Ovis aries: one gene and its partners. The protein of the gene in region 1 purifies or fractionates together with the protein of each later gene. This does not show direct contact. Links are inferred from orthologs where the notes say so. Each region holds a gene or a part of one and is shown in the gene's direction. Other genes may lie near its edges.

Region 1 (4,247 bases):
ACGGGTACTCTACAGTGAGCTATACTGGTGGGTGAGCGAATCCAGATCTTAATCTTTTCTCATATCCAGTGAGTCTCAATAATCTGATTAAAGTAAAATACTCCAGATCCTTATTTTAAAAGCTCACCTCAGAAATTAAACTATTCCTCTAAGGGGACTCTTTTTTTAAATACAGGACAAAACTGTATCTTTTTATATCCACATACCTGTATACAAATGCACAGGAAGACAATTGGAAGGACACATCTGGAAGTGGTTCTTTCTGAGAAGAGTAGATTTGTATGTATCAGTTGTATTATTTTAAAAAGAAATATTTTTCTTTAAAACAAATAGGAAATTGGATCTTGCTACTCACACCTGTTTTCTTCAAGTTTATTATTAAATTCCACGGTGCTTCTAAACATTCATCTGGGAAACGGGGCCTGCTACTGATATTTATTTTAACCAAATTGCCTAACCAATCTTATCCGGAAAAAGCATTGTTTGTGGTATAGTGAACAAAAGGAAGTGACCTAGAGAAGTTCATGGATCAGGTCTTTCACTTCAGTCACATTATCACGTTTACGCTCCTTAGTGAGAGGTAACATGGTGCTGGTGAGAGAAAAAGGATCTGAGTTCCAGTTTGGGCTCTGCTAAGAATATACTGGGGGACCATGAGCAAACACTTTCATTGTAAAATGGTGAATAAGACTAGGACAGATTTCTTTGATTACTAGAAGACTTACAAAGATGCAGTCTAGGGTGAAAAATCTATTATTCAGTTCTGAGTTGCTCCGAATCTAAAGGCAAGAAGACAAATTCTCTCCAATTCAGCAAACGTGTGTTATGTATTAGGACCACTGTGAATCTCAGGCGCTCTTTCACCAGGTTTTAGACTGATTTGCAAAAAAGCAAAAAAGTCCTCTCACTGAAGAAGCGTTTCGTTTCTCTTGGCCGTGGCCATTGCCCAAAGTGCCAAGATCTAATTGCCGTCAACATTAAGATGAAGACGTACCTGCTGCGAACGTGAAGACACTACAGTTCCCAGCATGCCTCTCTTCCCACCGCCGCCCTCTCCCGCCCCTACTCCTGGACTCTTGCCGGGCCGGGACTTGCAGTCCCAGCTCAAAGCCGGCGGCGGCGCGAAAGCAGTCTAGAAATGTACTTTTCCCACAAAAAGGCGGTGAGACCGCAGTTTCCAATTCAAGTCCTACTCCAACTGACTAGCGTCTGTCCGGCGGAGTCAAATTCCCTCCAACCAGCTCTCTTCAGACCGGCAAACTGCTGGGGCGGAACCACGCCCCGGAAATGAGGTCAAGTCCCCCAGCTGACGGCTGAAGCTCCTTCCAGCCACTCCTAGACGGACTAGGACAGGCGGGGCGGGCTTGGGGGCGTGGCAAGCGGGCGTGGCTCAGCTCGGCGTAGCCCCGGGGATCTAGCCGCTGCGCGGGGCCGCGCGTCTGGGTGGCAGCGGGGGCGCGCCCGTGGAGAGTGGCGGCTGCGGTTGCTAGTCTGGAGGGAGGGAAGGAGGAACCGGGAAGGGGTGGGGGGGGCAGGGCGATCGGAGAGCCGTGTTCCTAAGGCGGTGGCTGCGTCTCCGACGGAGCAGGAGCAGGGCGGGGAAGGAGGATGGAGCAAGCTGGGGGTTGGGGTTGGCGCTAGCCGCTGCGGCTCGTCTACTACTGTGGGAGAGTGGCTGCTCCTGGAAGTTGTAGGATCGGGAGCCGGGCTGGTGCCGCCGGTGCCGCCGCTGCCTTGGGCGGTGGGGAGGAGCAGGGAGCGTCAGGGGTCGGGAAAGACGGGACGGGTAGGGGGCGCGAGCTGGGGAAGACTGAGCGGGCTCTGCGCCGGGCGGGCGGGCGGCGGGGGGGCCAGCGACCGCAACCGGGGGGACGGGGGAGGATGGAGCAAGTGGAGATCCTGAGGAAATTCATCCAGAGGGTCCAGGCCATGAAGAGTCCGGACCATAATGGGGAGGACAACTTCGCCCGGGACTTCATGGTGAGTCCCTCCCCTCGCTGTTGCCTCCTCTCACCGGCATCCAAGCCCACTGCCTCTTCGCCCGCCCGGCCCGACCGCCGGCGCTTTGTGTGCGGCTGTAAGGAGAGGGGCGGAGGGGGCGCGCGCCAACCCCAAGGGCCGGGGTTGACTCGGAGGCTGGGAGGTGAGATCGCCCCTCGTCCTCCTTTCCTTTCGTCCTGCGATCGCGGCCCCTTCCGCCCGCGTCCGGAACGCGAAGAGAGGCCGCTGGCCAAGCCCGCACTTAGCGCCGCCGCCCGCGACCACCTATTGTTTCTCGGGCTGGGAGCGGGAGGCGAATGAGGTGCAGGCCGGTAGGCTCTTCTCATCTCCCCATCCAGTCTGCTCCTCCTGGGAGGGTCGAGGCAGGAAGGAGAGCGGATAGCGCCGACTGAGGAACGGAGCTATTAAGGTTGCATTTAACTCGTGGGGTCCCTTTGCTCAAGCTGGTCTCAAAAGAGGTCAGGGTAGGACTTTTTGCTCTTTCTGGGTTCGCAGTATTATCTCCAATGCAAGAGAAAGGATAGTCCATAGGAAATCTCGTGGAATGTTCGATTTCCATTTACTGCCGTCCTGTCTCTTGTCTCTTGAGACCCAGGTTTTAGATGGTGTAGGGGTCAACGTGATTTGAGGTTGAGGGATAAGTGTGTGTAGAGGCAGGGCGTGGGGGTGGAGGGTGCGTGGTTATCCCGAAGGAAGCCTACTTCAGACTCCCTAGGGGATACTGCCGAAGGCGGAGGGGATGTGACTATCACTTCCTATCCGGGGTGGGGGTGGGGAACTTGGGAACAATAGTCCTGGTGGGGCGGAGGCGACTGTACGGGCTGAAGCCCTGAACTGGGAGATAACCTTCGTAGTCTCCCCACCCCCCTTCCGACATCCCCCCTCCCCCTTCCGCCCTTTGCTTGTACTGGCGGGCTGGATAGGAGGTTAAAAGTCTTGGTCGTGGAATTGCTCTCGAGCCATCACTACGAGGGGGTCAGATCCGAAGGCGTGGGACCAGAAGTCGACTTCCTCCATTGCCACCCCCCCTCCTTTATTTTTCTGCTGGACAATGTTCCCTTTAGGGTTGTTTCTCGCCTTAGGAGGCGGTGGTTGCGGCGCTGCTCCTACGGATATTGCGCAAGACTGGGGCGTTGGAAACCCTGGAGGTCTGGGGAATGGAAAAGGAAGTGGGACTTTGGGAAGTGGTTGCTCCTTAGTCTTGGCGGGGTTTGGAAATGGGAAATAAGCTAGGGAAAATTTTGCTTCTGGGCAAGATTCACCTCCAAGAGTAGTCACCTAACTCTGAAATTCTGGATTGTGAAAAAGATACACAGTTAATGTGTATAAAAATGAGTCGCAAACATTGGCTAGTTTTTGTTTCAAAGTACAGTTTAATTGTTTACAAGGTGCAGGTGAAATGGCTTTTCGCACTGAAATACGAAATACTTTTCACATTTTAAAGAGACTTTGGTCTAGTAAAACTTTAGCGTTAACATTCTTAACCCTTAACTTTACTCAGTGTCATAACAGTATAGTTGAGCTTTGTGATTCCCGCCTCCCTAAACCAATAATAGAAGATAGGAGTTTGGTTTTGTTAGTATCTTTTGAAAGTGTAAAAAATGTTGATTAAATAATTTATGGTTTATTTTAAACATTTCCTCTTGATACTTAGCCCATGTATCTCCCCCCCCCCAATTTCCCTTTTATCTGAAAAAGTTAAAGATGTTTCCTTCTTCCTATTGGGAATTTTGAATGTGTTAGGTATCTTTGAAATGACATCACAGTAATTGGACAGAGTCCCCCTTTTATTACTCTCTAGCAAACATAAAAGAAAATATTTACTTAGATTTTAAAACTAGTCTAACACAGTCTTACTTTGGATGTGGAAGGAGAGGTGTGTGACCCTGTCCACTTGGCATGTTGGTCCTCTTGTTCTCTATGGACATATCCTGTCAGGAAAGGGCATTGTTTGCTGATGCAGGCCATCAGGACAAGTGCCCAGTCTCTGAACTCCTGTACAGGGGAAGTAGCCTTCGGGTTCATGCTTTGGGGATGAGTCAGGGATTCCTATTGGAGATTTCGTTTCTCCGGGACTAAATGAGTTTTCTTTTTCTTCCCTAATACCTAGGGATATCTAGGTGATTCTGCATTTAAGATTTGATGACTAAGGCTGTTCTTTTACAGTGCTTGCTTTTTTTATTCTGTGACTTGATAAGCAATAGCTATAATTAAATCTGCCAGTTATGCCTCTTTTTCTCTTAACT
Region 2 (3,650 bases), on another chromosome or scaffold:
GCAAACGCGCGGGTCTTTCTCCCTCTACTTTCGTAGAATTGCTTGAAGGGAAATTAGAAATGTGGACTTTAAGTAGGGGATGAAAGGACTGGAATGTTTTCTTGCAAACCTTGTCTTTCTGCTTCTTGCCCATCCTGATCGTGCTGTCCCATTCTGTCAATGGCCTTGCTCTGTTTGGTTCTCAGGTATGAAGCAGCTGAATCAATTAATTCTTTAGTGACGTCCAGGGCTTCCCTTGTACAGCTGGTAAAGAATCTGCCTGCAAAGTGGGAGATCTGGGTTCGATCCCTGGGTTGGGAAGATCCCCTGGAGAAGGGAAAGGCTACCCACTCCAGTATTCTGGCCTGGACCATTCCATGGACTGTATAGTCTATGGGGTCGCAGAGTCAGACACGACTGAGCTACTTTCACTTTCACTTTCTTGGTGACTTCCCACCAAAAGCTTCGCCTTTCTCTGTGACAAGGGGGTGCAGGGAGCAACAGAGCTAGCTTTAGAATTTTTATTCTCACCTTTCGTTTTGCCATGGCCCTCCTCATTTTCAACACTTGCTTCACAATGTCCCGGAGAAAATAAAGACTCCACCTGGAAACTTCCTCAAGTTTCTGTCACCCTGTCTACACATTTTTCTTACCAGTGGTTCTCAAAGGGAGGTCCTGGGACCTGTACCAACATCCTTGTTAGATGCAGATCTTATTATCAGACCAATTCCAGGCCTCTGAAATCAGACTTTCTCAAGTCGAGGCGAATGGGGGCCATCCCTTAGTTTGTGGTGCATGGGCTTCTCTTGTTGTAGAACACAAGCTCTGGAGGCTGTGGGCTTCAGTAGTGGTGACCTGTGGGCTCCAGAGTGCAAAAAGCTCAGTAGCTGTGGCTCGCAGGCTTAGCTGCTCTGCGGCTGGTGGGATCTTTCCAGACCAGGGACTGAATTAGCATTGCAAATTCTGCATTGAAATGTGTCCTGCAATGCAAAGCACACCCCCAACCACTGGACCATCAGGGAAACCTGAGGGCAAAACTTTGCATTGGAGGCTCTGGCAAGCTACCCACATGCAGATGTCCATTAGGCAGTGGAGAATGTGAGCCACAATTCAGGTTAGAACACTGACGGCTGGGTTCACCATCACCTCTTATGTGCAAAACTGTATCCAGTCCTATTTGTGTTAGTGTGTTATTAAAATCCATTTGCCGGAGTTAAGAGTGTATGAGCTTCCTGAGCGGTGGGTGGGAGTACACTAAATGAGACCATAAGCTTACAGATAATTCAAGGTTGAAATTGTTTCTTACATCATAGCCAGTCTAGACCCTTTCTCTGCATGTGTGTACATGTTTCTACAGGTGTTTGAGACTCAAGAATGTGAACGAATAAACTTCTTTCGAAATGCACTGTGGTTACATATGAATCAGCTCTCACAACAATGCGTCACAAGTGATGAGGTGAGTCAGAGTTATCCACGGAGGATGCTCTGCATATTAGATTCGTAGAGTGGGAGGAGTCAGAGACATCTGTTAGTTCATCCCCCGTCATTAGAGGCCCAGGTAGGTACAGTGACTGCATACACAGTGAGTATGGACCCAGATAAACACCTAACTTGCCTGACTCCTGGCTCACTTTACCATCATGAGTCTCTCACTGAGAAATTCACAATTAGGGCAGGAGAGCAAAGAAAGGACCCAAATGCAGTTTAATTTAAGGAAAACAGAGATGTAACAACATGAATGTGAGTCCCAGGGACTGCTCCAGTCTGAAACGGAGTCACTCCAGGACAGTAAGTACCAGGAACTAGCAGGCTGAGCCACGCCCAGGCTAATGGTTACTCCAGGGCTCAAGGTTTAACGTCAGCAGTGTTAAGGGCCACTAGTGACCCAGGTTTAACTCATGCACAGCAACTGTCCTGGGTTCCCAGGTCTCAGAGGGACCAGAATCAAATTATCACAACCTTCTTTCCTAAGAAATAGCCACTCGCACTTAGATGGGACATTCAGTTTTGAAGAATAACACCCAGAAGACAGGTAGGATTGACTGACTTGTCTCCAATTGTCTTTGCATTTGTGTGTAGGATTTGTCATGGGACTTGGTATCTATTCTCTTCATCCCATCCATTTTTTTAAAAGTCTTTCTGCCAAGATTACTGTGCTGCTACAAAGATATTATTTTTTGTTATCTTTAAAAAAAAATGTAACAGCAGCTATACATCAAAGAAATCCCTCTATGTGAGTCCAGGACATTGTGGTATCTTTTTTTTTTTTTCTTTTGAAGACAAAATTTGGAAAATAGCCATTCATCAAACCTCCCATTTTAATACTCCATGCCACCATTTTTATGGATGTACCTCTACCTTGATTTATCTTCTTTTTTTGTTAGATGTATGAAAAAGTCCGTAAGAGTTTAGAGATGTGCAGTATCGAGAAGGACATTGAGTACTTTGTGAATCACCGCAGAACTGGACAGACTCCACCAGGTGAATGGAGTGATAGGCTGGGGGATGCTATTCAAGCAATTCTATCAGTCTTTTGTATCACATGTCATTGAGAATGGAAGTCATCAGCTTCTTAACGTTTTATGTCTTGATGATTCCCTAGCACCCATCATGTATGAGAACTTTTACTGCCCCCAGAAGAATGCAGCCCCACCAGGAAAGGCTACAGGGCCTAACTCGGCAAGGTAATATCCAGCTTTCTTTCACATGAAGAAAAGTGCTTTTAGGGACTTCCTGGTGGTCCAGTGGTTAAGGCTGCACACTTCCACTGCAGGGAGTTCAGGTTTGATCTTTGGTTGGGGAACTAAGATGCCACAGGCTGCAATGAGGCCAAAAAAAGAAAAGTTCTTTTAATGAGCATTTTTATTTTTAGTGTTCCAATTCTAATATGAACATGTTAGAATCAGAATGTGTCTACCATTGCATTTGCTTAGAGAGGTTTCTGGATTTTTGGAAATAGTGTTTTTAGGACAAATGTTAAATGGACTGTACTAGTCATAGTTCAAGGAGGATTGTGTCATGCTTGAGTGTGATTATTATTACTTACGCACGAATCCTATACTTTTCTATTAATAATATTTATTGATTTTTACTTATTTATTTATTATTTATTTGGTGGTATTGGGTCTTACTTGCGGCACACAGGATCTTTAGTTGCAGCATCTAGTTCCCTGAGCAGGGATTGAACCCACACTCCTTGCATTGGGAACTCAGAATCTTGGCCATTGGACCACTTGGGGAGTCCCAATCCTAGACCTTTCTTGTAGAAAGCAAGAGTTGGCAAACTCTGGCTCCCTGTGAGTCAAATCCAGCCTACCTGTTTTGGTAGGGCCTACAAGTTAAGAACAGTTTTCATGTTTTTAAATGGTTGAGAAAAATGGAAAGGAAACTCTTTTGTGCCACGTGAACATCATATGAAACGTGAACATCCATGTTCGTATGTAGAGTTTTGCTGCTCATCTGTTTCCTTTCTGTCTGTGGCTGCTTTCACGGTGGAGATGAGTAGCATTGAGATAGAAATGCCATGTGGCCAGCAAAGCCTAAATCATTTACTCTCTGGCCCTTTACAGAAAAGATTTGCTGCCCCTGATATAAAGGATTCTGAGGGAAGAGAAGCTTCTCTTTTACATACAGTCACCCTGAAATCTAAGCTGTTGAATTTTCAGTCCAAA
Region 3 (2,696 bases), on another chromosome or scaffold:
TGACATCATGTCGTTTAGAATGACACTTAAAAGATGTACATATAAATGAATAAAGAAAGATTTAAAAGTTACATGTATGCTGAGTTTATAAAACATGCATATGAAAGAATATTGGAAGATAATATGGGAATAATAGTTATGTTGAATTAATGAGAGAATGGGAGGTAATTTCCTCTCTCATATTCTCAATTTTCTAGAATTTCAAAAATTTGTTCAAAAATAAAAAGCCATTTGGGAAGAATTTGATGAGTCCTCGTGCTCATTTTGTCTTTGCTTGGTTGACCTTTTGTATCTCCTCTTAATTTCTTAGTCAGTTTTCTGGCACGAGGGTGATACTCTTTCCCCAGACCGGGAGTGTGCAGAGTTGTGGTATTGTGGACCGTTTGTCTTCACGAAGGAAAGAAGGCCGTGTGCCATCCTGGTTCCCAGACGCTGGGCTGCTTCTAGGTGGAAAGTGAGAAGTCACTTGGGAAGCCGTGCCGAAGTGAACTCTAGTGACTGTGAAGGAAAGGAAGAGAGAAGCTATTGGTGGAGGGTACCAGCATCTGAAACAGGATTTTTAGCAGACCTGAGGGGCTTGGCTGGGAAGGAAGAGAGGGGAGAAGGAGGCTCGCACGGAAGCAGAGAGGATCATGAAGCAAGCTTCTTGTACCCGGCCTGGCGGGGATGCTTTGGAGAGAGATGGGGATCTGAGTGTTGACTGGGACCTCAGTATGATCAGTGGTGTTCATTTTTACATGGATCTAGACATAGCAATCAGAGCACAACCCCTTCATAGGAAGTACATCTTGTCCCCATTTGTACTCAGTGTGAATTCCAGAACTGGGATGCTGTGGCAGGTGTTGACTGTAATTAAATCCTCTGATGAGTACTGTGGAACCTGCCATAAAGTTGATTTTGAAAATGTTTTTGGTAGAATTTTATATCTGAAGCAGTTTATACCTTGCTATCTGAAAAGTTAAATTTTTAGCAAGTAAAATTTTAATTGAAGACAAGACTTGCTGTGCTAGTCCTGTTGGGGTGCTTGAAGGTGGAGAGGAGGTTCAGGGCACCTGGGGGCCCGCCGGGTCACATGGGTCAATGCTGGCCGGACTTAAGACATGGGGCTTGTAATTTAAAGTGCCAGAGCACCACGTTGGCTCTGCACTGAATTTCATGACTGACAGCAGGGAGTGTTACTTCATAAACGGGGGGGTCACTCATGTTTGAGCGCAGTTGTCAGGTGGACTCTCCCTGCCTGCTTTTTCCCCATGACATGTGTTTGTGCTCATTATCTCCCCTTCAGGCTCCAGGTCCTCCAATGACTTTTCTGTGAACAGAACTTGGGTTTTCTCTCATGCATTTCTCTTAGGTGGTCTGATTTCATTTGAGTGGTTTCGACCGTGTCCCCCTGCCCTCCGGCACCTTGCTTGGGCTGCAGAATCAGCACTGACTGTGAACTTTATGGATCCGGGCAGGCATCCCTCAGTGTCCTTGTTGAGTGACCACTGGCTGGGGTGCTGGGTTTTAGGGGTGAACGCACAGACGAGTGACTCTTGCTCTCCCAGACTTTGAGGTGTTGTAGGGAAGAATCTTGGAGGACGATGTGAGCTGCATGCTCGCTGCTCTGGGGTGGGAGGTGGATGCAGAGCAGGGAACCATGTGTTCGGACCTTGGTGACCACTCATGCTCACTGTTGTCCTGTAGAGCTGGTCACTGGGGACCAGATGTTGGACATTTTAAAAACTTTAATAATGAAATTGAAACCTGTCAGAACTTTCTGTGTAAATAATTTCTTGGACAGGGATGTGGAGTTTTAAGTTTTGTTTAAAACTATTAAGGAGAGTTGTCAGTTGACGAACTCCCTGCCTGCTACCTTTGTGATGCAGAACGACATGGAACCCAGCAAAGCCATTCCGCTGAACGCTGCGAAGCAGGACGGGCCCGCGCCAAAGCCGCACAGTGTCTCCCTCAGTGACACCGAGACGAGGAAGCTCGTGGAGGAGTGCAAGCGGCTGCAGGGGGAGATGATGAAGCTGTCAGAAGAGAACCGACTCCTGAGGGTGAGTGCCCGCCTGGCCCCACTGTGCAGCGGCCTCGGCGCCCCTCTCGCCCTTGGCCTGGACGCTGGGGGCTGGCGTGCCCTGGCTGCTTCCTCACTCGCTGGTGCAGCCTCCGCGCCCGGGCCTGGCATTATCGGCTGCAGCAGCAGTGCAGTCCCTGCGAGGGGGCCCCCGTTGTCCAGGGCGGGCCACCAAGGTGTGCTTAGTCAGAATTAAGATGTGCTGTGAGTCACATAGTGCAAGAAAAATCCCTGTTTTGTATTGTTATGTTGAAATAATATTGAATTCTATTAGATTCAGTAAAAGATACATTATTAAAGCTAATTTTATCAAGTTTAGTACCTTTTTAATGGGCTTAGAAAATTTTAAATTTCGTGCATGGCTCCCATTGAAGGCCCCTGTGAGGTGGCTTGACCTGTGCTGAGATGGTTTTTCTGGCTGTTTCTTCCTCTCCCAAGCCCCTCTCCAAGGCCCCTGCCCTGAACACCTACCTGGAGGGTGGAGAGATGCCCTCTGTTTCACAACCACACACAGCTCCATCCAGTTGTAAGGGGGCTGCTGTTTGCCCTTTTCCTTTACCTGCCATGACCTCAGTTCTGTGTTTGGTGGACGGTGTGCTCCCTGGCTGCTGAGCCCAGGTGTTCAGAGAGCTGA

The links.
Region 2: the proteins of PTPN12 (region 1) and PSTPIP2 purify together in Homo sapiens (affinity purification with mass spectrometry; 4 studies listed by BioGRID and IntAct, counting the BioPlex papers as one, with this or other methods). This does not show direct contact. The link is inferred for Ovis aries from reciprocal best matches to the Homo sapiens genes PTPN12 and PSTPIP2.
Region 3: the proteins of PTPN12 (region 1) and VAPA purify together in Homo sapiens (affinity purification with mass spectrometry; 3 studies listed by BioGRID and IntAct, counting the BioPlex papers as one, with this or other methods). This does not show direct contact. The link is inferred for Ovis aries from reciprocal best matches to the Homo sapiens genes PTPN12 and VAPA.

What each region holds. Positions count from the first base shown.
Region 1 is NC_056057.1:45,191,059-45,195,305, reverse strand, and holds the start of PTPN12 (tyrosine-protein phosphatase non-receptor type 12), read left to right. Parts: upstream 1-1,441; 5' UTR 1,442-1,881; coding exon 1,882-1,980; intron 1,981-4,247. UniProt on the Homo sapiens protein: Dephosphorylates a range of proteins, and thereby regulates cellular signaling cascades. Dephosphorylates cellular tyrosine kinases, such as ERBB2 and PTK2B/PYK2, and thereby regulates signaling via ERBB2 and PTK2B/PYK2.
Region 2 is NC_056076.1:46,126,762-46,130,411, reverse strand, and holds part of PSTPIP2 (proline-serine-threonine phosphatase-interacting protein 2), read left to right. Parts: intron 1-1,336; coding exon 1,337-1,435; intron 1,436-2,363; coding exon 2,364-2,460; intron 2,461-2,581; coding exon 2,582-2,663; intron 2,664-3,650. UniProt on the Homo sapiens protein: Binds to F-actin. May be involved in regulation of the actin cytoskeleton.
Region 3 is NC_056076.1:42,439,868-42,442,563, forward strand, and holds part of VAPA (vesicle-associated membrane protein-associated protein A), read left to right. Parts: intron 1-1,868; coding exon 1,869-2,042; intron 2,043-2,696. UniProt on the Homo sapiens protein: Endoplasmic reticulum (ER)-anchored protein that mediates the formation of contact sites between the ER and endosomes via interaction with FFAT motif-containing proteins such as STARD3 or WDR44.